Linked DNA regions of Kluyveromyces lactis. The protein of the gene in region 3 interacts with the protein of the main gene of each other region in a pairwise test. Links are inferred from orthologs where the notes say so. Each region holds a gene or a part of one and is shown on either strand. Other genes may lie near its edges.

Region 1 (8,059 bases), on a different chromosome or scaffold from region 3:
CGTTGATAGGAGATTAATTATTTGTCTCATATCACCGCGAGTAACTGAAACAAGTCTATCAATAACGTTAGGATCGAGTTTAAATTTTTCTCGCATCGCAATTGTCATAAGACGGGCCTTAACAGCTTGTGCATCTGGTCGTCTGAAAGGTATATCCAAGACGGAATGATCAAATGGCCTCATTTTGGGCAAGTTACGCTCATTGCAGATCAAAATCATAGGGGTGTTGGTTTTCCTGCAATACTGCGCAAGCTGTCCCACACCACCTCTATCACCTCCACTCATACCATCAACTTCATCCATGATAATTACAAAACGTTTCCCATTTTTAGAGTAATGGTCATCTGATATGCTTTTGAACATCCCAATGACTGATTTATGATCCAACGCAAATTTGACACTGGCATTCAACAGACCCTTGGAACGAACGTCAGATGCATTTTTCTCTAAAACATCATATCCCAAAGATTTCGCCACTAAATGAGCGGCTGTCGTCTTGCCAATACCTGGTGGACCTGATAACATCACTGCTCTCATACTAGGCTTTTTCCCAGAACTCCAGCTCTCTAACCAAGTTTTCAATTTTTGGATGGCTCCTTTATTACCACAAAGTTGTCTTAAATCAGTAGGCGCATATTTCGTGGTCCATAACTTACTGTCTTCAGTAACAGTACTTTTACTTGAAAGATTGACATCTTTTCCCACCGATAGTTTATCCTTCTTTTCACGTTCCTCTTGTTCCTTCGCCATTTGTTCAGCTTCTTTCATCGCTTGTTCTTGTTGTTCTTGTAACTTCCTTCTAGCTTTGTCTGCTTGTTGGTTATCACCACCACCTGCAGGCATACCTGCAATTAGTCTCTTGAACCCTTCTTCATCAATGGCCTTTATACCCAACTTCTTGATGTTCTCGAGCTTTTTAGGTCCTGCTTCTTCCCCTAACACAACAACGGATGTGTTCTTGGAAATAGATTTGGTGACACGAGCACCATATCTCTTTGCTAGATTTTCTGAGGTAGATCTGTCAAGATTAGGCAAAGTACCTGTGAATACAATGGTTAGCCCGAGCAAACAGTTTGCTTGACCCTCTGGGATCTCCAATTCACTGGATGCACCAGAACCATCACCTCCTGCACCTTTCCATGAAAACTGCGTGGCTTCTTTCGTCGTAACATTATCAAGATCAACAGAAGGTATAGAGTCTAAAAGCTCTTTTACAGTTTGCGGAGAATCGCTTTTTTTAACCCTACTAACGTCTGGTTTAGTCAATCCGTTCGATGAAGGTTCACTTATCCTTGGTTTCTTTGCAGGTGACTGCTCTTTCTCATCGGCTGCGGTAGTATTGCTCCGGCTTCTTCTCGGTTGTGACGCCAGCAATTCTAGTTCGTCGTCATCCAAATCCAAGTCAATCGTTTCAGCAGCCTGGCTCTTGACCTTCTTGGGCTTCTTGGGTGAAGCATGATTTGTTCCGTGCCCTGCCCTCTTATTTTTTGCAGCTCTCAATTTATCCGTTATGTCTCCCATCTCGGACACCACTTCAATTGTACTATTACACTAGAATCAGATAACACTGAAAACCCTCTAACACATCTATATCCGACACTCACGCTTTGTCAGTTTCTGTTTTATCAGCGATGTTCTCGTTATTACTGGTATTTTTCCTGGTTTTCTATGATTTTAACATTTAAATTGTTGGTTTAAAGATTGAAGAAAAACGAACGATGTTGACGTATATAGACTATCGAAAGAAATGAATTGGCTTTCTACAACTTGTTCATCTGCACAACGTATAAATCTAGAGTACCGAAGTGACCTTGGCATATAACCCATAGATCAAGGATAGTTGTTCCTGTCAAAATTAGGGGCTCCCAAACAGCAATTGGCATCTGACCGCATTAAGAAAAAAAATGGCCAAGAACAAGAAGAAGGGCAACAACAGTAACAATAAATCAAAGTCTGCTGGTTCAGCAAAAGATGTCAAGGCTACAGAGCCAGTCCAAGAAGTGGTTCCTGAAAATGATGGCGCTAAAGCTGTCGCGGTACCGGATGATTCTCTAGAAAACTCTGATGGTGCTGACCAGTCAACTGTGGAAGCGGTTGTTACTGTGAAAACAGATGACAAGCCATCGAAACCTGAACCAGAGGAACAGCAATCACACGAAGCCACAACAAACTCTAATGCAGAGGCAGAACCGCACAGTGATTCTGAGGAGAACGATCTACAGCGTGTTAAAGAGGAAAGAGATCAGTACGAATTGAAGTATAACACTCTTTTGAGTAAAATCTCATCTATGAAGACCGTGTTCAGTCAAATGAAGCAAGCTCAACAGGAACTGGAAAACACTCGTGAGCAGTTGAATGAGTATGAGAATCAGAATATAAATTTAAAACAGAAGCTAAAATCTGCTGATTCAGAAATCCAAGAGGACAAGCAAACCATTTCTATTTTGAATGATGAAATCGTCAATCTCAATAAAGAATGTGAAAATTTGAGTAATGAATGTTCAGAATTCAAGTCCAAAATCAAAGAATTGGAATCTAAGTTGAACGAGGCATCTAACGAGGAGTCTAACATTACTTCTTGTCTTAAATCTGAAGTCAAAAGCTTAAAATCTCAGATCGATAATTTAGAAATTATCATCAACAATGAGGCACAAGATAAAAGAGATTTAGAAGAGCAGATAGCTGACTACAAACAGCAATTAGAACAAAGTGATGAAACTAAGAAACAGCTTGATAATATAATGTCAAATTTAGAAAAGCAAATAAATGATAACAACACTACTATTGAGACTCTAACCAAACAACGGACAACAGAAGTCAACCAATTCACCGAGGAAATAGCACAATTAACGAAAAATAATGAAGAAAAAGCTACCGAAATCAATAGTTTGAGGGCAAAAGTAGCGTCCATGAGTGAAGATGTAGCATTAAAGGAGAAATTTGAACGAGAGGTGAAAGAAAGAGTTCTACAGATAGGAAAACTACGCCACGAGGCTATCATATTAAATGAACATCTAACAAAAGCATTAGCGATGCTAAAGCAAAACAATGATTCTGAAAGTGTCGACAAAGAGTTGATATCTAACCTTTTCATCTCATTTGTTACTATCCCAAGAGGTGATCCAAAGAAATTTGAAGTCTTGGAATTAATTTCAAGTTTCCTTAACTGGGACACCGATAAAAAGACTCAAGCTGGTCTCATTCAGAATATGAGCAATACAAACTCCGAATCGCGAACCCAGAATTTCGTTTCTCTCTGGACTGAATTCCTAGAAAAGGAAAGCGAGAAGTGATTGCGCTTTGGCTGTCATCCTGCAGAAACTTTCTAAAAGTGATTTGTACTATAAACGTTCTAACACATAAATATATAGACTAAGTTAGTTCAATTATTCACTAATCCAGTCAAATATCATAAGCCGTCTGGAACAAACTTAAAGAAAAGCGCGACTTGCACTGAATATTTTTTTTTACTTAACCGATCAACGGTAATAAAATTGCATCTTGATGATAATTTCTATGAAAATTCAAGTAACCCAAAAGACACCGGCACCTATGAACAAATACAAAGAAACGTTACATTTAATAGACCTTCTATAATCTTGATCGTTTGGTTCAATCTTCAAGACAAGCATCCAAATCATTAGCGAATACAAAGATGTTAAGATGTGTTATCCCAAGCGTTCGCGCTACTGCAACGACCAGAACCTTTGTTAGATTTGCCAGTTCTCAAGGCTACATTGATGGGATCGCTGCATTAAAACAAGACTTGAAGAAGGCAATGCTTGCAAAAGACAACCTAAGAAAGACAACCATTAGAGGTGTACTATCTACAATTAAGAACAAGGAAATTGACAGTAAGGATAAGGATCTAGATGAATTTGTATTGTATGATGTGTACGCCAAGTTAATCTCGCAAAGGAAGGACTCCATCGCTGAATTTGTTAAAAATAAGAGAGAAGATTTGGTAGAGAAAGAAGCCAATGAGATAAAGATCCTCGAGAATTATCAGACTGCCTTGCCTGTTGCTTCTAGGGAGGAAGTAGACGCTCGTGTTGTGCAGATTTTAACAGATCTAAAAGAATCAGAGCCATCTATACAATTGAAGCAGGTCTTCGGAAAAATTGACTGGAAAACACTACCAGGCGAATTGAAGGCATCTCCAGCTGCTATCAGGTCCAGTATTAGCTCTCAATTTAAGAAAGTGTTCCAATAAATCACCTAGCTAAAACCAAACTTGTACAGAGTCATTCATTAAAAAAAAAACTCCGATGAATGACGCCCTTGTGATTAAGTAGGCACATCAATCCCGTAAATAAATGTACTTACAATTATGCAATATCAAGCCGCAGCAATGGATTTGACTCACGTGAACAATTCTCTATCTAAAGACTTCTGATAAAGCCATGTTGTTCGCTAGGATGCTTTGCCAGATCACGTGATAAAACATAGTAACCAATACTCTCTGGTAACTACTAAGTGGGGAGAATATGGACATGATAGTCTTTTGCTCTCTCCACAATAGCATAATCGTAACTCTTGCATGCATCTTCAACTGCCTTCCTCCACCTTATTGTAGTACTTCCTCTAAATTTCACCAAACATTGAAAACATGAATTGACTAAATTTCAAATTCAGAGATAAATAATGGCAATTACAAGTACGAAAATATCCAGAAGAGAAACATTAGACGTGCTTATAACCCCCAATCAAATCAACCAACGATGGTGTCGGTATGTAATGATTAAAAAAGACTGAAAAGCTTCTTCAGTTCGTTTTTAGAAGGTTTCTTTTCACAATGAGTTTACTAACAGACCTTTTATTCAATATTTCGGAAACAGACTGTGAAGAGAACGGTCAGAATTAAGACCAAGCAATCTGTCCTACCGGATGTACCACCTCCAGTAGAAAACTTTCCTATGCGTCAATGGACCATTGAATTAGTTCTTTTGGATGAACAAGGAAACGAAATTCCAGCCACGATATTTGATAAGGTAGTGTATCATTTGCATCCAACTTTTGCAAACCCTCATAGAACATTCACGGAACCTCCTTTTAGAATTGAAGAACAAGGCTGGGGTGGCTTTGAATTGTTGATAAGTGCGCATCTTCTTGAGAAAGGGGGCGAGAAGAAGATAACTCACGACCTACATTTCATGAAAGATGCCTATGAAATTGATCATGTAATCCAAGTTCCTACCAATAAGCCTCTTCTAAGAGCAGAACTAGAGAAAAGTGGACCTGTCGATGAAGTAGCATCAACAGCAGCAGCAACTCCAAATGCAACAGCGACAGCTGCCACCACTCCAGGTGACAAGAGAAAAGCATCTACTGTCAATGGTGATGTAAAAACGAAAAAAGCCAAGACCGCCTCCGCTTCAACAGTGAAAGGCTCTGTGAACTTGGAAAAGTTAGCATTTGGCTTAACAAAACTAAACGAGGATACATTGGTTGGAGTAGTACAAATGATAACTGATAACAAAACTCCAGAAATGAATATTACGAACAATATCGAAGAAGGTGAGTTCGTTATTGATTTATATAGCTTGCCTGAAAGTCTATTGAAGAGTTTATGGGAATACGTCAAGAAAAACACCGAGTAACCGGACCTCTCACATGTTTATCTAATTTAACCATTACAATTATGTAGTTGTATTTTATAACTTACATCTCCACTAACAGGCACTGCTTGCAGAAAAAGTACCAAATGAACACTATAATGAATAGACAAATCAAGCCTAGGGAAAATTGCACTGAAATATTTGATTGAATTCGCCCTTGGACTTGACTTTAATTATTGTCGACCTCCTACCGATGAGCTTATCTCTGAAAAAAATAATAGTTTGAATCAAATTCTACATGATAGCATATCACAATACTCCATTATGTTTTACTATTGTTGTAGCACAACGGTCCGCAAGCCGTCGATAGAAAACTGTATTGGCATCAAGTCAACACTTAACATAATGGAAAAAGATTTTGTAATGGTATGTTTTAATCTAATATTGCCATAACGTTTGTCACTAGCAGCATTGTCACTAACAAGTGGTTGTTTACAAACATATCAGCCTTACGTTCCTCGAACAATAAGAGTCAAAACTCAACAAATTATTTTACCAGATGCTCCTAAAGTCTACGAACTGCCGACAAGGAAATGGAGAATGCAATTATTTATATTAGATGAAGAAGGAAACGAGCAACCGGCCACCTTATTTGATTATGTTACCTATCACCTTCATCCCACATTTGAACGACCACTACGAAAACTCACGGAACCTCCCTTCACCCTAGATGAGCAAGGTTGGGGTGAGTTTGAGCTAAAGATAATAGCAAAGGTCAAATTTTGCTCGACAACTTACACTTTTCATCACGAACTATCCTTCGATAATAATGCGTACAATGTTGATTATGAGGGAAGGTTTCCCTACCATCAAACCAAACTGCGGGAAGAGTTATTAAATTCTGGCAGTGTACCAATTTACAATGAAGATGAAATAAGTTTGGGTCAAGTTACAAACTTACAAAGGGCTATTAATCTTATATCGGTATCTGATGTTGATACTATTCAAAAGGTAATTAATACAATTGTTACATTTCCTCCGGTATCTGAAGAAATTGCTAAGAGACGTCATCAAGAGGATGACATTGTAATATTATTGTCTCAAATTCCGAACCAGCTGCTCAATAAAATTTGCAGGTTGGTGGAGGCTTCCTCAGCTGCATCTTAAAGTTTCACTTACTGCGATGAACAAGAGCCAAACTGAGCGGTTTCAGTAGTATTATAAGGGCTATTTTGCGGCTTTTTTCGATATGCATTACCATTCTCAGTTCATCATTTCACTGATGAACCGGTGTCCAAACTTTTAGGGTCATATCCCATGAGCTAGACACTACTGCCATTCCATCAGGGCTCGTCTTGACGGCATTTATTCTGTTTCGATGACCATCAACTTTGCCAATCATTTCTCCTTTGATAATATCCCATACTGCACACCCGTAATCCGCATAACAAGCGTACATCAATCTACCAGAAGAGCTGAAATCTATTGATATGACTCCTTGATCTTCGATACAACTTTCCTTGAAATTCAAAGATTGAGGTGTTTTTACAATTGGATAAGACGAAGTTGAAGAAGAGGATGAGCCATACCGATTTTTTTGAATACGAGAATAAGCATGAGAATGAGGATGAGGATGATGTTGTTGTTGAAGCTGGTGCTGCTGAAGTAAACCGTCTGAAAATGAGTACGTCGATATCTGACAATCACTTCTTAAGTCAAATAACCTAGCGCTACCATCATCTGAACCCGCCATGAAGGATTCTCCATTGTTGAAAAATTTGATGGCACTAACATCACTATCACTGATGAAAAAACTTTGGGCTGAATTCGGCTGTCTAACATCCCATAGATACGCATACCCGTCCGATCCTCCGGTGATGAAATTATGACCATATCGACCAGTGTTTGCTGGTGGTAAATCCATGGTCAAGACATCGCCTAAGTGATCTATAAATTCCGTAACTCTTTTACTTTTAGGAATATCCCACATAGCGCATGTCATATCACCACTTGCAGTCAAAATAGTCCTCTCATCAAGAAACTCCGTAGCTGAAATGTAGCAGGTATGGCCCTTGAAGATGGAAATCACATTCTGTTGTATTCTATTATCTCTTGAAACACGATACACTGAACAATGATTGTCCAAACCCGCACTTGCAACCAGATTTCCGCTGGGACTGATAGCGCTACTCAAGACCCATTGGGATAACAAGGGGATAGCGCTTTTTTTAAGCCCAGTGAAGGGATCCCATATGATTATAAACCCGTCTTGGCTCGAGCTGAGTACGCTTGCCGAATCCTGGCTCCATTTTACGTCTGAGATTTTATTATTATGTCCTTTCAAAGTTCGAACCGGTTGTAAGTTTAACTCGTGTAATGAATTGACGCCGTGAGACAAGTTCATCAATTGAGTGTCTTGAATTTTGCCTTTAATTCTGTTGATTTGGTCGTATAACTGCTTGCACTCCGTCTTTGCTGTCCTTATTTTGTCCTCCACTGTA
Region 2 (7,153 bases), on a different chromosome or scaffold from region 3:
GTCAAAGGTAGGCTCGATTGTCGGAGGACAAACCAGTTGCAAGAATGCGGAAATCAACGCTTTCGAGAAATATTTACCTTCGGACTGTGAGATTGTATCTGTACACTCATTGCATGGTCCCAAGGTCAATACAGAAGGACAGCCGTTAGTCCTAATAAACCATAGAACTAAATCTCAGGAATCATTTGACTTGGTAGAATCTTTGATGTCTTGTTTGAAGAGCCAACATGTTTATTTATCTTACGAGGAACATGATAAAATTACTGCAGATACCCAAGCAGTAACGCACGCAGCATTCTTAAGTATGGGGGTTGCTTGGTATAAGATACGAATCTACCCATGGACGCTTGGAGTCAATAAGTGGCATGGAAGTCTAGAGAATGTCAAAGTGAATATCTCCTTAAGAATCTATTCTAATAAATGGCATGTATATGCGGGGTTAGCCTTAACAAACCCTGCTGCTCATAAACAAATCACACAATACGCTAAAAGTGCTACCGAGCTTTTTACCCTTTTCGTGGAAGGGAAGAAAGATGAACTTACTAAAAGACTTCAAGTCGCCAAAGATTTTGTATTTGGTAACCACAATGGCTTGTTACTATTACACGATCTAGCTCTTGATGATTACTCATTATCAAAACATGAAAAAGGTGAAGATAACGAAGTGATACCAAACTCTCATTTATCTCTATTAGCAATTGTCGATAGTTGGTACCAATTGGGAATTGATCCCTACGATCATATGATCTGCAGTACTCCTTTATTCAGAATTTTCTTGGGGGTTAGCGAATACTTATTCCTAACAGATGGTTTACTAGAACAGACTATCGATGCTGCGATTAACGTACCAGAGTTCAGAGCGGATGATATGGAATTCGTCATAGCTGCAAGGTCGTGGTCTAATATCGTCTCTTTTGGTAACTTCGAACTCTATAAGAGACAATTTGAAGAGGTACAACAATTTTTCACTCCAATGTTTCCAGAAGCAAATGCTATTGGCAACGAAATGATTAAGACTATTCTTGAGCATTCAAAAAGTAAAAATTTATGATATGTTTACGCTTGATAGATTATGTTATATATGTATATATATGATATACAATGATATACATAAGTACTGTGAGAGAAATTTATTGCTAAAACTTCGATACGATCGGAAGATAAATCCTCACATAATGTGCCATAAACTATATAGACGCCATGCATTAAATTAGAAGGATGATGAAAATAGCTTCATTGGATGGAAAGGTGACTAACTTAATAGTTTCAGAGAAAGTTTTATTTTATCGCCTGCGTTTTCTACTTTCTAAAAAGTCACAATCTTCAGAGGTTTCCAAGTTGTTGAGATTCGGTTCTGTGAGTGGACTCACACTCATAAAAGAGCTCAACCCGGTTCTTTGCCTCTTTCCCCTGTATAACTGTTCCGAACAGTCTTCGTTTGTTATGTGGTTATGGGTATCTACCGGGGTTGGGCTTTTACTATGCAATTTCGGGGAGTTTCTTTTTGTATGATTAGGTTGTGACTGAGCCTGCGTTTGCAAATATTCGTTTACCATCTGAACGTCTGTTTGAGTCACCGAGTAAGACTCGAATAGTCGCGGGGAGAAATTCTTGAACTCCTTTACCATAATTCTGTTCCAAGCCATGGCCAATTTTTTATGATAATCGGTGATATTAGTACAGCGACTATAAATTGATGATAACAAATGCTCATAAAAGGAGCACAACCCATAGTTCAGAAGAACAGGAGAGAGATGATTCAAGCAGATAGTCTTATTCACAGGTATGCAGGGATTAGGTGTCAAACAGTTTAATAGTATGATAGGCTCCCATTCGTTCATAGGCTTGTGGCTTATGAAAACAACACAGTAAAGTTCCAAATCTCGGCTTTCGTCATGTAGTACTATATTCCAGAACTGCAAATTTGATTCTTGTGGCTTGATATGGCATGTAGAGTGCTTATAATGGCTCAAACGTTTCCATTCCCTAAGGAGTTTCCTGTACAACGGATGCATCTTATGTGGATGTGGCCTGCTATTTGAAAGAAAAAAAAGTAGTGAAGAATAACAATTATAGGCAATGGAAAAGCCTTTCCAATAATGATATATTACCACACTTAGTTGGCAATATAGTAGTTAAGATATCCAATAATAATCACGTTACCCTTAGCTTTGCATGCAAAGGTATGCAGTCTTACTGTTTTGTATTTTTACAAATCAGATTAATATATTCTATTATTATTTTTCTCTGATTATCATTTTTGATCTACAAATTCTTCATATATTGTAGAATATGTTTATACAGATAGAAGAAGAAAGAAAATTCAGAGCATTAATCAGTACCGGTATGCCTCATGTGAGCTCTCTGCAGTTACAAACTCGCATATATAAAAAATTGAGATTGAACAAAAAAATACAGCGAGGACAATGTGAACGATACAGACTATATACGCAAGTAATTTTTACTATGTCTAATGGGGTCTCTTTGTTTGTTGTTACCCGGCCACTAAAAGGCCAACTACAATTTTAGTGAAAGGAAAATCTCAGGATCGAGTGATTAATAACACACTGCATTGGTTAGGAGTTATGATTTCATTGTATTTAATATTTCACTCATTACAAAGACATTATCTGATCTTATAGTACGAATACAATAAAATTGTTTACACATCAGGAGACAAACTTACCGCTGTCTGGATCGCTGTTTATTCGTTTATTTGTTTCGAATTTTGGCTGTAACTGGTTCTCAAATAAGAAATATTTTGAACAAGTACTTCCTAATTTTACATATCAACTAGTACAAAAGTTTTGGTTTTAAATTATTAATTGACTTATTAATACACCTTTTCTTTAATTACCAACTACCTTTGAATTGACCGCAGTACAGCAATTACTTATAAAATATCACAATGGGTAACTTCTTTAGTTCTATGTTTGATAGACTATTGGGTGCGGAAAAAGAATTACGTATATTGATATTAGGGCTTGATGGTGCTGGTAAGACGACGATATTGTACAGACTACAGATAGGAGAAGTGATAACTACAAAACCTACCATTGGTTTCAATGTAGAGACGTTAAATTATAAAAACTTGAAACTTAACGTGTGGGATCTAGGTGGACAAACTTCGATTAGACCATACTGGCGTTGTTATTACGCAAACACAGCAGCAGTTATCTTCGTTGTTGACTCTACAGATAAGGACCGTATGAATATAGCTTCGAAGGAATTGCACCTCATGTTGCAAGAAGAAGAATTGCAGGACTCCGCTCTGCTCGTATTTGCCAATAAACAAGATCAACCAGGCGCATTAAGTGCGTCAGAAGTATCAAAGGAGTTGAACTTGGCAGAATTGAAGGATAGAAGCTGGAGTATTGTTGCATCCAGTGCCATTAAGGGCGAAGGGATAACTGAAGGTTTGGATTGGTTAATTGACGTGATTAAGGAAGAACAAATGTAATTGTAGAAGGAATTGAAAACTGCATGTTTTTTAGTGCTTCCGGTCCCATTATATTTATCTACAACTGAAATGCTTTTTTAATTTGACATGACCTAAGATAGTAATAAAAATAAATGACAAAGCTAATAACAAAGTTAAAATTCGAATTGTTTACTTCCTGCCGATGCTGGCGTAATGTCCTATTGAATTCCTTTACACGCTTATTTCAATAGACATTCAATTTTCCCATGCATTTTTATTTCATCTCCAAAATCCTCCACTATTTCGTTTACGTTTGCGTATGCGTGATATAATGTTTTCTCCTATTCAAACCATTCCATCGTGCCCTAGTTTCATTATATATATAGCATATTCATAATTCGCATAATTAAGCAGTCATTATACCATGCAACCACGAATCCTTTAAATGGAACATGGTCTTGCCAACTACCACCATATCATTCAGTATATGATGTATTACTTCGCTCAACGTAAAAAGGTAAATCTCTTTGTTATATATTACAGGTGTACATTACCCCCTCGACGAATATCATATACTGGAAACAAATACCAAAAGCGGTACCTCTTTTTGATTATTATTTGCTATAGTAATAACTACAGGCATATAGCAAAAAAAAAAGTAACCGTTATAAAGATCGTGAATTGAAAAAAAAGTGTGTGTTATTAAAACGATGACAACTTATAAAAAGGTCAAGGGAGGCAAATAACTCAGGCCTGTTTATCATTCATGTTATAAGTATATGAATTGGTACACTTAGGTTTGAGGTTTTGTCAATTGGTCTTTTCAGTATAAACTCCGATTTGTCATTTTCAGATTATCTTTAATTTTGAGACTGTCCAGTTCATAGGTGGGTGTAAAACTTAGTCCAATGAGGTTTTACTTTAATGCGTTCCGCTCTAGAGTGAACTCCAGGGTGTTTTTCCTCAAAGGTTTAAGAATTACACCGTTTCTTCTGTCGCCTATAGTCCCACTTTCGATGCAATGGTTTAGAGGACCGTTATTGAACAATTCAACGGCGCTAATACCCGATAAAAAAGGGGATACTTTCGAGATGGGCTTATACATTTCTTCACAGAAGCAATTACAGGAAGAAGCCGAAAAAGAGCGTGAAAGAATTATAACTACTAGTGTTATGCCCAGTTTTTTTAAGAGGATTTTGTATCGCATCAATGATGTTATTATAGAACCGGTTTTAACATTGCTTCGATTTCTAGAACTTTCATCCATATTCATTCCGTTGTTAATAATATATCCAATTACATGCCTTGGACATCATAAAACGCTAAAGGTTGATTCGAATAGAGTTGTGAAGGAGACATCAGGTTCCCTTTTGTGGTTTAAACTTCTAAGAAAGGCTTTAGAATTCGCTGGTCCTACATTCATAAAATTAGGTCAATGGGCAGGATCCCGTACTGATATTTTCTCCGAGGGTTTATGCGCAGAGTTGGGGCGCCTACACAGCAATGCTAAACCTCATGCGTTGAAATTTACAAAAGAAGCCATTGTTAATTCCTTAGATAGGAAATATGAGTTCGATGATATATTTGATGAATTTAACGAAAAACCTGTTGGATGTGGTGCCATCGCCCAGGTCTACATAGGAAAGTTAACTGAATTAATGATGAAGAACTTTGATATTAAAACGGATAGTAGGTATTTTGCAGTGAAAGTGGTTCATCCAAACGTACCGAAAAAGATAGACCGTGATTTAAAAATAATGACTTTCTTCGCCGATATGATCGACTCTGTACCCACCATGGAATGGTTGTCCTTACCAAATGAAGTGGAGCAGTTTTCCATATTGATGAAGTTGCAACTTGACCTACGTATAGAATGTCAGAACTTGCAGAAGTTCAATGATAATTTTGCTGACAATCCAAGAGTAAAGTTCCCAGTCGGCGCTATGGATTTATCTTCTCGTTATGTACTTTTTGAAGAGTATATTCACGGATTCCCAATGGAGAAATTTTTATCGAGTAAAGATGGTTTAAAGAGAGTCGACCTTTGTAGAAAAGTCAGCGATCCATTTATCGAGGCTTTTTTGAAAATGTTGATTCTGGATGATTTCATTCATGCAGATTTGCATCCGGGGAATGTCATGATTCGTTTCATGAAATTGAATAAACAAGAAACAAAGGTAGTATCTTCTGAAAAAGAAATGTTTCAAATTGTGCACAAGTTAAGAGCAATGTCAAGAGACAACGACCCTGAATTCATTCCGGAGATGAAGAGAGTATTTGAGGAATATGAGCCTCAGGTATGCTTAATTGATGCAGGACTTGTTACCGAGTTGAACGATCGCAATAGAGTGAATTTTATTGCACTATTTAATGCGTTGGCCAAATTTGACGGTTATCGAGCAGGTGAGCTAATGATCGAACGTTCACGTACACCAGAAACTGCGATAGACAAAGATTTATTTGCATTGAAAGTGGAAAAATTAGTCAATAAAGTTAAGAAGCAAACATTCACTTTGGGCACTGTGTCAATAGGAGAACTTTTGGATAAAATGCTAGGAATGGTAAGACAGCATCACGTAAGAATGGAAGGTGATTTCGTATCTGTCATTGTTGCTATTCTATTGTTAGAAGGAATAGGTAGACAGCTTGATCCTGAAATGGATCTCTTTGCAAGGTTCGTATTATTTGTCTTAATGAATGGATTTTCATCCACTTGAAGCTCTTGGTCTCAATTTACTAACACCAAAATTTTACCCATATACCGGAAAAATATTGTTCATATTTTCATTGCTATGTAGACTATGAGCGATGCGTTTTTTCCCGGTGCTCGTGTATTTATTCAGCTCACTACCATTTTTACGTAAGTTCGGAATGAGCAGAGCTCATGATTTAGCCGGCGGTGATTCCAGCATGCTACAGGATATGAGTTCGCTATCGATGTTAAAGATATGGCTAGGGTTAGAAATTCGTCAATTGATGAGCATCTCTTCAAAACAGATATACGAACTAGTAAAAACGGATCAATTGTGTCCAAATTACTAAGAAAAAATGGTAATAAATGGAGAATATTCCAATTCTCTTAATGCATAACGAGGATAAACTTCCAAACAATAACAGTTTTGTTGTATAAAAGAAATAATTTACCTGACAACTCTGATAAACCTACCATAAGTTGATTAGTTCAAGAAAAAATATAGCTAACGACCCCTAAAATAGTCACCAATAACAGCGGTGAAAAATAAATATACCAGGGATTAATTAAAAAGAGCCCTAGCTGAAGCCCATCATGACATATTTCAAGATTACTTTTCATAATGCATGAATTCTCGTTTCCCGTAGTTGGATCCAAATTCCGAAGTATTTAACTGTCAAACAACAATAATGACGCAGAAAGCAATCGATCTTTTGCAGAGACGTTCCTTTTTTCCTAAAGATTTCCGTGAAATCTCTCGGGAATATGCCACGTCTTATCGTCTAACTCACCATCGGCGACTGTCTCTCAGTTTGATTCGAGTAAGCAAGGCGCGGAAGGCATGAAAAAACTGGTAAGTATTTACTATTTATTACATTCCTTATGTCAGCGTGTATTAAATCGTATTTCTTGCGATCATCTTTGCGTTCTACAAGACATCAACAAACTCTCTTTCACCCAATAGAGTGAGAGAAAGTTATTATTTTTCTCTGAACATGGTTTAATGTGTGTCAATCTTGCTCATCCTCATGATACGTCTA
Region 3 (8,452 bases):
TCTGCACATATACCACCAACTCAAACTGACGAGAACACTAGTGTACAAACTGGCGTTAGGCGAACCTCAGGTAAAGAGAGGCTCGCAACAAACCATCCACCACATCAACAGATCCACCCAGAAGATAACTCTCAAAACCCAGAACAAAGCTACCAATCTGCAAGTCAGAAGAGGCTAAAGAGCTCTTACAATGATTTGATTTTGGAGAAGGAGTATGTTGTTGTGGAGAAGAAAACTGTCGAAGTAAATTCTTTGGCTGATGATTTTGCTAATAATGGACCCATAACAAACAACCAAGGGGCACAAGTTATAAAACCCTTGAGATACAGAACGTCTTCTTCTAGCGATGCATCAGGAGGAAGAAGAGCCTCTTTAGTGGAGAGAAGGCTTTCGATATCGTCATTAAGCCCGTCGAATGCGTTATCGAAGGCACTAGGGTTAGCTTCTGTAAGGCTTTTCGGATATCAACATAATACAAAGGCTACTTCTTCGCCACCTCAACAAACACTACTGAATCCTCAGATATTTCAGGAGCTAACGGAAAATGCAGTATTGAGGGCTGATCATAAACTAAATCCTTTCAGCGAACAAATGTTGGATTCCAACATAACTCCTGCAGTGGAATCGCTTGCGGCCAAAGCATTTGTCATGTATTCGTTCGCTGAAATGAAATTCTCTCAAATTCTTCCAACTCCTCCTTCTTCAACCGACTATGACCCACTGTCAGATAAACGTCTAAGTAACGGAAGTTGCGCGATAGAGGATGAAGAAGATTTGGATCAAGGCCGCCCACCTTCTAATCAAACTTTGACCTCAGCAACAACAAAGATTTCATCAGCCACCAATGTTGACACTCAAATACCGGCCCCCGAGTTGAAAAAGTTGTGCACCGAATCTTTACTTCTTTATCTAAAAGCTCTTACTATTTTAGCTGCTTCAATGAAATTAACATCAAAATGGTGGTATGAAAATGAAAGTAAAAACTGCACTTTGAAGCTAAACATTTTGGTGCAGTGGATTAGAGATCGCTTTAACGAATGCTTAGACAAGGCTGAATTTTTGCGTTTAAAGCTCCATGCTATTAATACATCACCAAATTCCCAATGGTCAGATGATGACCCTGTAATTTTTGTTGAAAAGTTAATATACGATCGTGCTTTAGATATATCTAGAAATGCTGCAAGAATGGAAATGGAAAGTGGGAATTACAATACTTGTGAACTAGCCTATGCTACTTCATTATGGATGTTAGAAATTTTGCTGGACGAAAATTTTCAATTCAACGAAGTCTATGATGACGAGTATGCATCAAATATCACCTCCTTAGACGAATCAGATAAGGAAATGATAAAGAAATACATTTCAAGTATTGCTAATAGGTTAAAGGCACTAAAATCCAAAATGGTTTAGGATTGATCATCTTTTGGATTGGGTTTTTTACAATTTACATTTTATATAATGATTATATATATATGGATTAGGGTTTTTTCCATTAAACACTTACTACTTTTTTTTTGAAACGATACCGATATCGTTTAGTAGTAAAATAAGATTATATCTATGAATAGAATGACTTATTATAATAAATTAAATACCAAATTAAAAATTTCCAAACTTCAAATACGAAACAAAACGGGAGATGCAAATATAAAGCGTTTCAACTTTTGACAAAATAACTCAAATGTCGCTCAAAGGACCTCTATAGTACTATTGGAGCCTTGGTTTGTACGTTGTTGTTCTTCCTGAATCCTCCGTTGATTCTCTTCTTCCTTCTTCTTTTGTTCTTTTTCTGCCTTTCTGCGTTTTTCTGCTTCATTTTTAAGCTCATTCTCGAGCGTTTTCATTTTTTCGTCCAATTCCTTCAATTCTTTATCAGTGTTTTTCCGTTTGTCATCGATGAACTTCTTGAACTTCTTTACCCTTTCTGCAAGTAAATCTCCTGTCCTCTTATCTTGCCCTGCCTTAAGAAGTTCTTCCTTTTCTAACCTCGAAACTCTGATATCTGCAAAACCCTTTGCTTGTCTTTCAGGGAACGCCTCGAAATACTCTTCAAATTGAACAAAAAGCTCTTTGTCCGCTCCATTATTGGAAAGAGCTTTTATCGTCTGAGCGAACATAAGTTCATGGAACTCGGAGAAAAGAGTTTCATTGACGATTACTCTTGATGATTCAGATTCCGGAGTCATATTGCTTAATAACGTAAATGAGTCAACATCACTATGGAAGAACCTGTTATCTATATCACAGTTACAATTTAAGACATTGCGTAGTAACAGTTCATTGATATCAGATGTAGAAATTGGACAACTTTGCTTAGTTGATAGATACTTTTCGGGTTTTATCTCGCCAAGTAAAGTATTCTTAAGTTTTGAGTCAAACATGCCAACGTCGCTGACGGCTAAATCATCGAACACCATGAGATCTTTGCGAACTGTCAGCTCCTTTTCAGAATCCCAAGCTGATTTGAAAGTGGCTTCACTATACACTATAGCGAAATATGCTGTCATTATTTCACTTGCAGACCAAGGTTCATTAAATTTCAACCTCATTTCATCCATAAAGCGAACGAAAGAAAGATACTGTTTTGTATTGAAAAATGCAGTTTTACCAACGAGAAACGTTTCCGTATCAATAATTACTCCGTTATAATTGTTGTAATCATCAATGAGATAATGCGATAGTTTGATGTTTTTCTTTTCTTGCAAAGAACGCAGTGTTTCATTGAAAGATTGGGATATCTTTGAGTCAAGATTTTTATCCATGAAGACAATACCAACGTTAGTATTCGAATCACTTGTAAACCTTTCAAAGATATCGTACCTCACATCACCATCGAACACAGTGCCGGGTTCTAATTTTACAAAATAGTCATACTGAGTCACTGCGTCTAAATTGAAAATATCGCTTGATAAAAGGCGAGAGAAACTGATTGAGTATGGATCATACAGTTTTGAATACTTCTTCGTGTGTAATTCCCACTTGTCTAACAAATCGGAGAAATATTTTCCTATATGGAGTTGTTGCAGCTTACTGTAATATTCGAATCTGTGTTCCCTCTTTGCAGTAAATTCATCTAACAAAGACGTGACTGCCTCCGCATCAGAATTACGAGTCAACAACTCTTGATCTGTGAGGGGTTCCTTAATGTGAACAAATTCGATCAATCCAGAAGCAATATTGCGCAACTGCATTATTATTTTCTTCTCGAACAATTCGATATGTGACACAATGACCCATGGATAATGATACTCCTTGTTATAGTGAGATTCCACAGATTCCATGGTTCTTTTTAAAGTCGAGAGCTGATTCAAGTTCCTTACATGGATCAGTATGCATGCATTAATGTTTTTTTCAGTGTTTTGCGAAAGTTCACCAGACTCCCTCGAAGTACTGTTTATTCGTTGCCAAAAATCAACCATGTTTGCCTTGGTATAAGAGTGAGACCCAGCTAAAGAGTCGAATTTCACTTTAAAGTTTTCCAAGGATCCAAATGCTCGTGCGTAGGACTTTTTACCCCACCCAAACCGGTAAGTTCCTGAATTTTTGCTTCTGTAGCTATTATTAACAACACCATTCAGATCAGCCAGTTGGACCATTTCTAATGCTTTCTGCACCTCAGTGGAATCAAAAGCCTCATTCTGGTTCTTCCCTTCAAAATTTATAGGACCAGAACCGTACCTTGAATTATAATAAGCATCACTTATGCCATTGGCAGCATCGCCCGATCTGCTGAAAGTCCAGTGTTCATAGAAAACCAGTACCAAGATACAAGCTAAAATCCCACCCAAGACAGGTCTGGGATGATTTTTCAAGTGTGCCATCTCACACAACAGACACCTAAGACTAGCTTATCGATGAAAATCACCCTCTAGAGAGTGCCTGCCAGTCTTGAACTCGATGATCTGTTAAAAGATTCCCATCACATCTAATTAACTCAGTAAATTTATACTCTATACAGGAAAAGTGCTCTCGAGATATTCGGAATTGAGCACCCCTCCAAAATATTGTTTTTGGGGGCCCGAAAATTTTCTGGTTTGAAATTTCGAAATTTCGAAATTTCCAGCTTTACAACATGTAAGAAATTAGAAATAGGTTAAAATATTCTTTTAGACACGTAAACAGGACAGTTTAAAACGCGGTTTTATGGTATATGCAGGTCACTGAACTGTGAACAACCTCGTGATATATTGTGAGATAGAATTGCGACTGTTTTATTTGGTCTTTTATTGTTGTTGGGAACGCTATTTTTCTTTTTTTTGTTTCGTTTCTCCACACAAGGGTAAAGTAAAATAAAGGATGTTTAAACAGTTGACTCAGATCGGTAAGAACCTTACCGATGAGCTGGCTAAAGGTCTGAACGAGGAACTCAATGGGATTAATCCAGATCAATTGGATAAAACAGGACCGTATGCGGATCTTCCCAGTGATGTTCAAGTGAAGTTGAGAAAGTTCGATAAGTATGAGCAAAAATATCCATTGTTATTACAGGCTTATAAGAACGAGAAATTGAAGACAGAGAAGGTGGAGCAATTTCAAAAGGTTTTAAGTGAGTGCACGCCAGTTTCAGATATTTCTGACGTGGATTCTTTAAAAAGTTACTTCAGTACGGTAAACCAGAAGACTGATATGTTGAATAACGAAGTGAAAAGGTTGACTTTGGAAAATACACAGCTATCTCAAGAGTTAGAGAAGGTAGATACTCATGAGCTAGAGCAAGTAAAGGGTGAATTGGATAAATCAACTACGTCAGTGGAGAATTTGGAGAAAGAAGTAGTTAGCTTAAAGCAGGAAATTTCTACGAAAGATCAACTGATAGATTCTTTCAAAAACAAAATTGAAGAATTAACTTCGACACCTTCTTCAGTAGATAGTAGCAGTGCAACATCAGCCCAAGAGACGACAGAAAATACAGCATCCAGTACTGCGCAGCCAACAGCATCAGGAAAAAAAAAGAACCAGAAGAAAAAAAAGGGGAAGGCTAATAATAACAATAATCTCCAAAACAATAATGCTAATGCCGGTGCTGCCGAGACTGCCGCAGCTGCTCCGGCTACTGAGCCAAATCAAAAGGCTAAAGATATAACAGAAGCAATTACTCTCCGTGTAAAATTAGATACATTGCAAGCAGATTACGATAAGTTGAATAAGGAATATGAATTACTAACGTCCACGAAGGCAGACCTTGCAAAATTGAAAGAAACTATTAAGATCAAGGATGAAGAACTAGAAAGTGTCAGAGATATGTTGAAAGACGTTGGAAACGATCTAGTGGCTGCTCAAGATCAGCTAAAGTCCAAGAACGATGCTTCAGCTGAAGTTAATAATTTGAAACTACAACTCGAATCGTTGAGGTCTAACAATGCGGATAATTTGAAGTCCTATGAGTTGAAGCAGAACGAATTAAACAACGAAATTGCATCGTTGAAGAAAAATGAATCCTCATTGCGCCAAACAGTAGCACAAAAAGAGAAAATTATCGATTACCTTGAAAACCAGGTTAAAGAATATAGCTCCAAAGAATCTGAATATAAGAACGAAATTGAACTGCAAAAGAAGGAGAATTCAGCTTTTGTGAAACGAATTGAGAATCTAAACAAAGAAACCGCGAAATGGAAGAATGAATCTCAGAAGAACAACGGTAACTTAGAAAGTTATATCAAAGAAAATGGAAAATTAAGTGAGAGACTGGAAGTACTGCAGGAAAAACTCGAAACACTACAAAATTTGAAGTCAAATTCTAATGACCAAGTGGAAACTATCAGGAAGCAATGTGAAGAGCTTTCATTCAAATTAAAGGATGCTAATAAAAAAATACTATCTCTAGAAGACGAGTTGAATGAAAACGCTAACATTCTACAAGAGAGAAACAGAGAGACTACTACCATGAGAAAGATGCTAAATGAACTTCAAACCGATAAAAGTAATAGAGTGAAGGAATTAGAAAGCAGACTTCATTTCGCCGTTGAAGAGAAATCAAAGATAGAGAATGAGTTGCAAATGGAACTAACTAGAAAATCCCAAGATCTCAAACAACTCAAACAGAAAAACACGCAACTGCAATCTGTTAACCACGATCAACTAATAAAGATTGAGCAATATTCAGCCGAGATTGAGGAGTTGAAATCCACTTTTGAAAGAATGAAGAGGTCAAACAATGTTAGCCAAGAAGACACGTCTGAACTTGATTCAATCGTTAAATCATTAAAGGAAGCTCTTGTAAAGAGTGAAAAGAAACAAAGGGAGATTATGAACACTAACGTTGAACTCAAAGAACTAAATAATGATTTGAACAAAAAATTTGATAGATTGAGTAAGAACTATAAAAACTTATCGTTACAAATCAGTAAAACTAAGGACTTAGAACCCAAATCTGCAAGAAGTAGCCCACATCCATCAAGGTCAGGTTCTATTGTACAGGACACTATTTCATCACCAATAAGTTCAACACAATCAGAGATTAATGAAAAGATTGCATACATAAAAAACGTGTTACTTGGATTCTTAGAACACAGAGATCAGCGTGATCAGTTATTACCCGTTGTTACGACGTTATTGCAATTGGATAGTAATGATGAAAAAAGGTTATTGCTATCATTGAAATGATAGTTTATATCTAAATATATACTATAGTTTACATATAAAGTTGTAACAATCATAACACAATCTTATTTCTGCTTTCTCTTTTTCCTGGTTCAAATGTCGAACTCCTTAATGTAATTGATTCCGTTGAAACACTCCGCAGCGGTCATCTGGTCATCCCCAATGATGTTATCTATCTTCATTGCAATGTCAACGGTTTTCCTGTTACCATCATGTTCAAGGATCAAACCGGAAGAGGTGCGTTCCCATAATTTGACATCATTCAAAATATCAGATTCGGATCTTAGGAAAGGATTAGAGACGGTCAACCAATCCAAAGTATCATGATCCCAAAGCACCGATTGTAATCCAAACTGTCTTGCAATGGAACGAACCCTGTTGTCGATCCCCCCATAAGGAGGTCTAAACCATTTCGGCAAATGGTTTCCGGTCGCGTTCATGGCCCATATAGACCATTCTAATTGAGCAATAATTTCTTCATTGGTTAAACTTGGTAAGAAAGGATGTGACCAAGTATGTGTACCAATCAAATGGTCCTTTTCCATGATCTTACGGTATATTTCCGGATGATCCACAACGTTCATACCAAGGGTGAAAAAAGTAGTCTTGTGCTTCAAATGATCTAATAGTGTTAAAGTATGATGAGATGGCCCATCATCGAAAGTTTGAGATAGTTTCTCACAAGAATGAACATCATCGGGTTCAACACATTTGTGACAATCAAAAGAGCACGATTCCCTCGGGTTCACGTTACATCTACCCTCTTTGTACGGTTCCCATTTCTCAATCTTGTCGAAATCAATGAAATCCAACGGAATGTAAGGTGGATTGGAACCTGGCCATTCAGTTAAACCTGTGAAGGCAGTTAACCACTCAGGGAATGGAGTTTTCGCCTGAGATCTTGGTGATCTCCCAATCGGGAACCTAAACTCTTGTTCTATAGCCAAACCGTTGTCTTTAGCTACAGATAGTGGATCCTTATTCGAAGTATCAATAACGGCTGCATATGCAGTCGCTATTGAGACAACGGAACATTGTAGTAAAATGAGTGTCGAGACCATCTTGATATACACTTACTTGGTGATAAAGTTAAGTAAATTGTTATGCAGGGTTGTACTGCTGCTATTTAAACATGTAATATTGGAGTAAAAAAAAGGTCGTTAGTGGACGTAAATACCATTTATGCTGGTGATTTAAACACTGTAGATCGATGTATCGGCTAGTAATATTTCGCTGCTGTCATATTATCTTTTGTGACAGTTTCAATACATTTGGAAACTGAACTGACGCGCGACAGTATATTACCCGGATACACGACAGAACCACCAAAAGCATTCGCTGTTACCCGGAAACACAGAATTCAAGCTTTATTTTTTCTGTTTTGAGATTTCAGTTTCTACAGCCTCCCCATTGATCCCTATTTGAAAGTCCATTCATCCTCAAAACAACTTAAGAAAAACGACACTCTGACTCAGAACACTATTCAACGTACTTTGGTCCTGTAACATACTCTCATTGACCAATGAAATCAATTAGAATCATATATACCGCATGGTGTGGCTGAAAAATTGAAAACGGTTCTAGAACCGGGGGGAGTGGAACCAGTTTCCACAGAAACAACGGTGAGTTCTACTGTTGTCCCAGTGAACATTGTTCTATATGTTGACATAGTACAGTAAACGAGAATAAGGCCAACAGATAGGGGAAATAACGTGGGGCTACTTATCGAACTTCCAGCGGCTGTAAAGAGTTTCAAGTCCGGAAAATGGGGGGTGGAACCTGGCTTCCTCTCAGACCAGCCTGTAGCAGCTATGTTAATCGGCCGGTCTCCTTTTTCCTTTATAGGACAAAT

The links.
Region 1: the proteins of IMH1 (region 3) and RUD3 interact in a two-hybrid assay, tested with the Saccharomyces cerevisiae proteins (2 studies listed by BioGRID, with this or other methods). The link is inferred for Kluyveromyces lactis from reciprocal best matches to the Saccharomyces cerevisiae genes IMH1 and RUD3.
Region 2: the proteins of IMH1 (region 3) and ARL1 interact in binary tests that used the Saccharomyces cerevisiae proteins (3 or more experiments, as listed by UniProt). The link is inferred for Kluyveromyces lactis from reciprocal best matches to the Saccharomyces cerevisiae genes IMH1 and ARL1.

The regions. Positions count from the first base shown.
Region 1 is NC_006040.1:586,375-594,433, reverse strand, and holds RUD3 (Rud3p), read left to right. Parts: upstream 1-1,904; coding exon 1,905-3,293; downstream 3,294-8,059. Other genes in the region: RFC1 (replication factor C subunit 1), read right to left, coding at 1-1,521; AIM41 (Aim41p), read left to right, coding at 3,656-4,213; KLLA0_D06831g (uncharacterized protein), read left to right, coding at 4,722-4,730, 4,839-5,600; KLLA0_D06809g (uncharacterized protein), read left to right, coding at 6,159-6,725; STE4 (G protein subunit beta), read right to left, coding at 6,835-8,059. UniProt on the Saccharomyces cerevisiae protein: Involved in the structural organization of the cis-Golgi and in vesicle targeting/fusion stages of ER to Golgi transport.
Region 2 is NC_006041.1:2,191,646-2,198,798, forward strand, and holds ARL1 (Arf family GTPase ARL1), read left to right. Parts: upstream 1-2,908; coding exon 2,909-3,460; downstream 3,461-7,153. Other genes in the region: TYR1 (prephenate dehydrogenase (NADP(+))), read left to right, coding at 1-1,051; UBS1 (Ubs1p), read right to left, coding at 1,284-2,015; KLLA0_E24795g (ABC1 kinase family protein), read left to right, coding at 4,330-6,138; KLLA0_E24817g (uncharacterized protein), read left to right, coding at 6,230-6,463. UniProt on the Saccharomyces cerevisiae protein: Recruits golgins such as IMH1 to the Golgi. Can bind and hydrolyze GTP. May be involved in trafficking events within the endosomal system.
Region 3 is NC_006039.1:1,500,045-1,508,496, forward strand, and holds IMH1 (Imh1p), read left to right. Parts: upstream 1-4,296; coding exon 4,297-6,603; downstream 6,604-8,452. Other genes in the region: serine/threonine protein kinase ATG1, read left to right, coding at 1-1,410; KLLA0_C17182g (uncharacterized protein), read right to left, coding at 1,689-3,821; KLLA0_C17226g (uncharacterized protein), read right to left, coding at 6,693-7,661. UniProt on the Saccharomyces cerevisiae protein: Involved in vesicular transport between an endosomal compartment and the Golgi apparatus.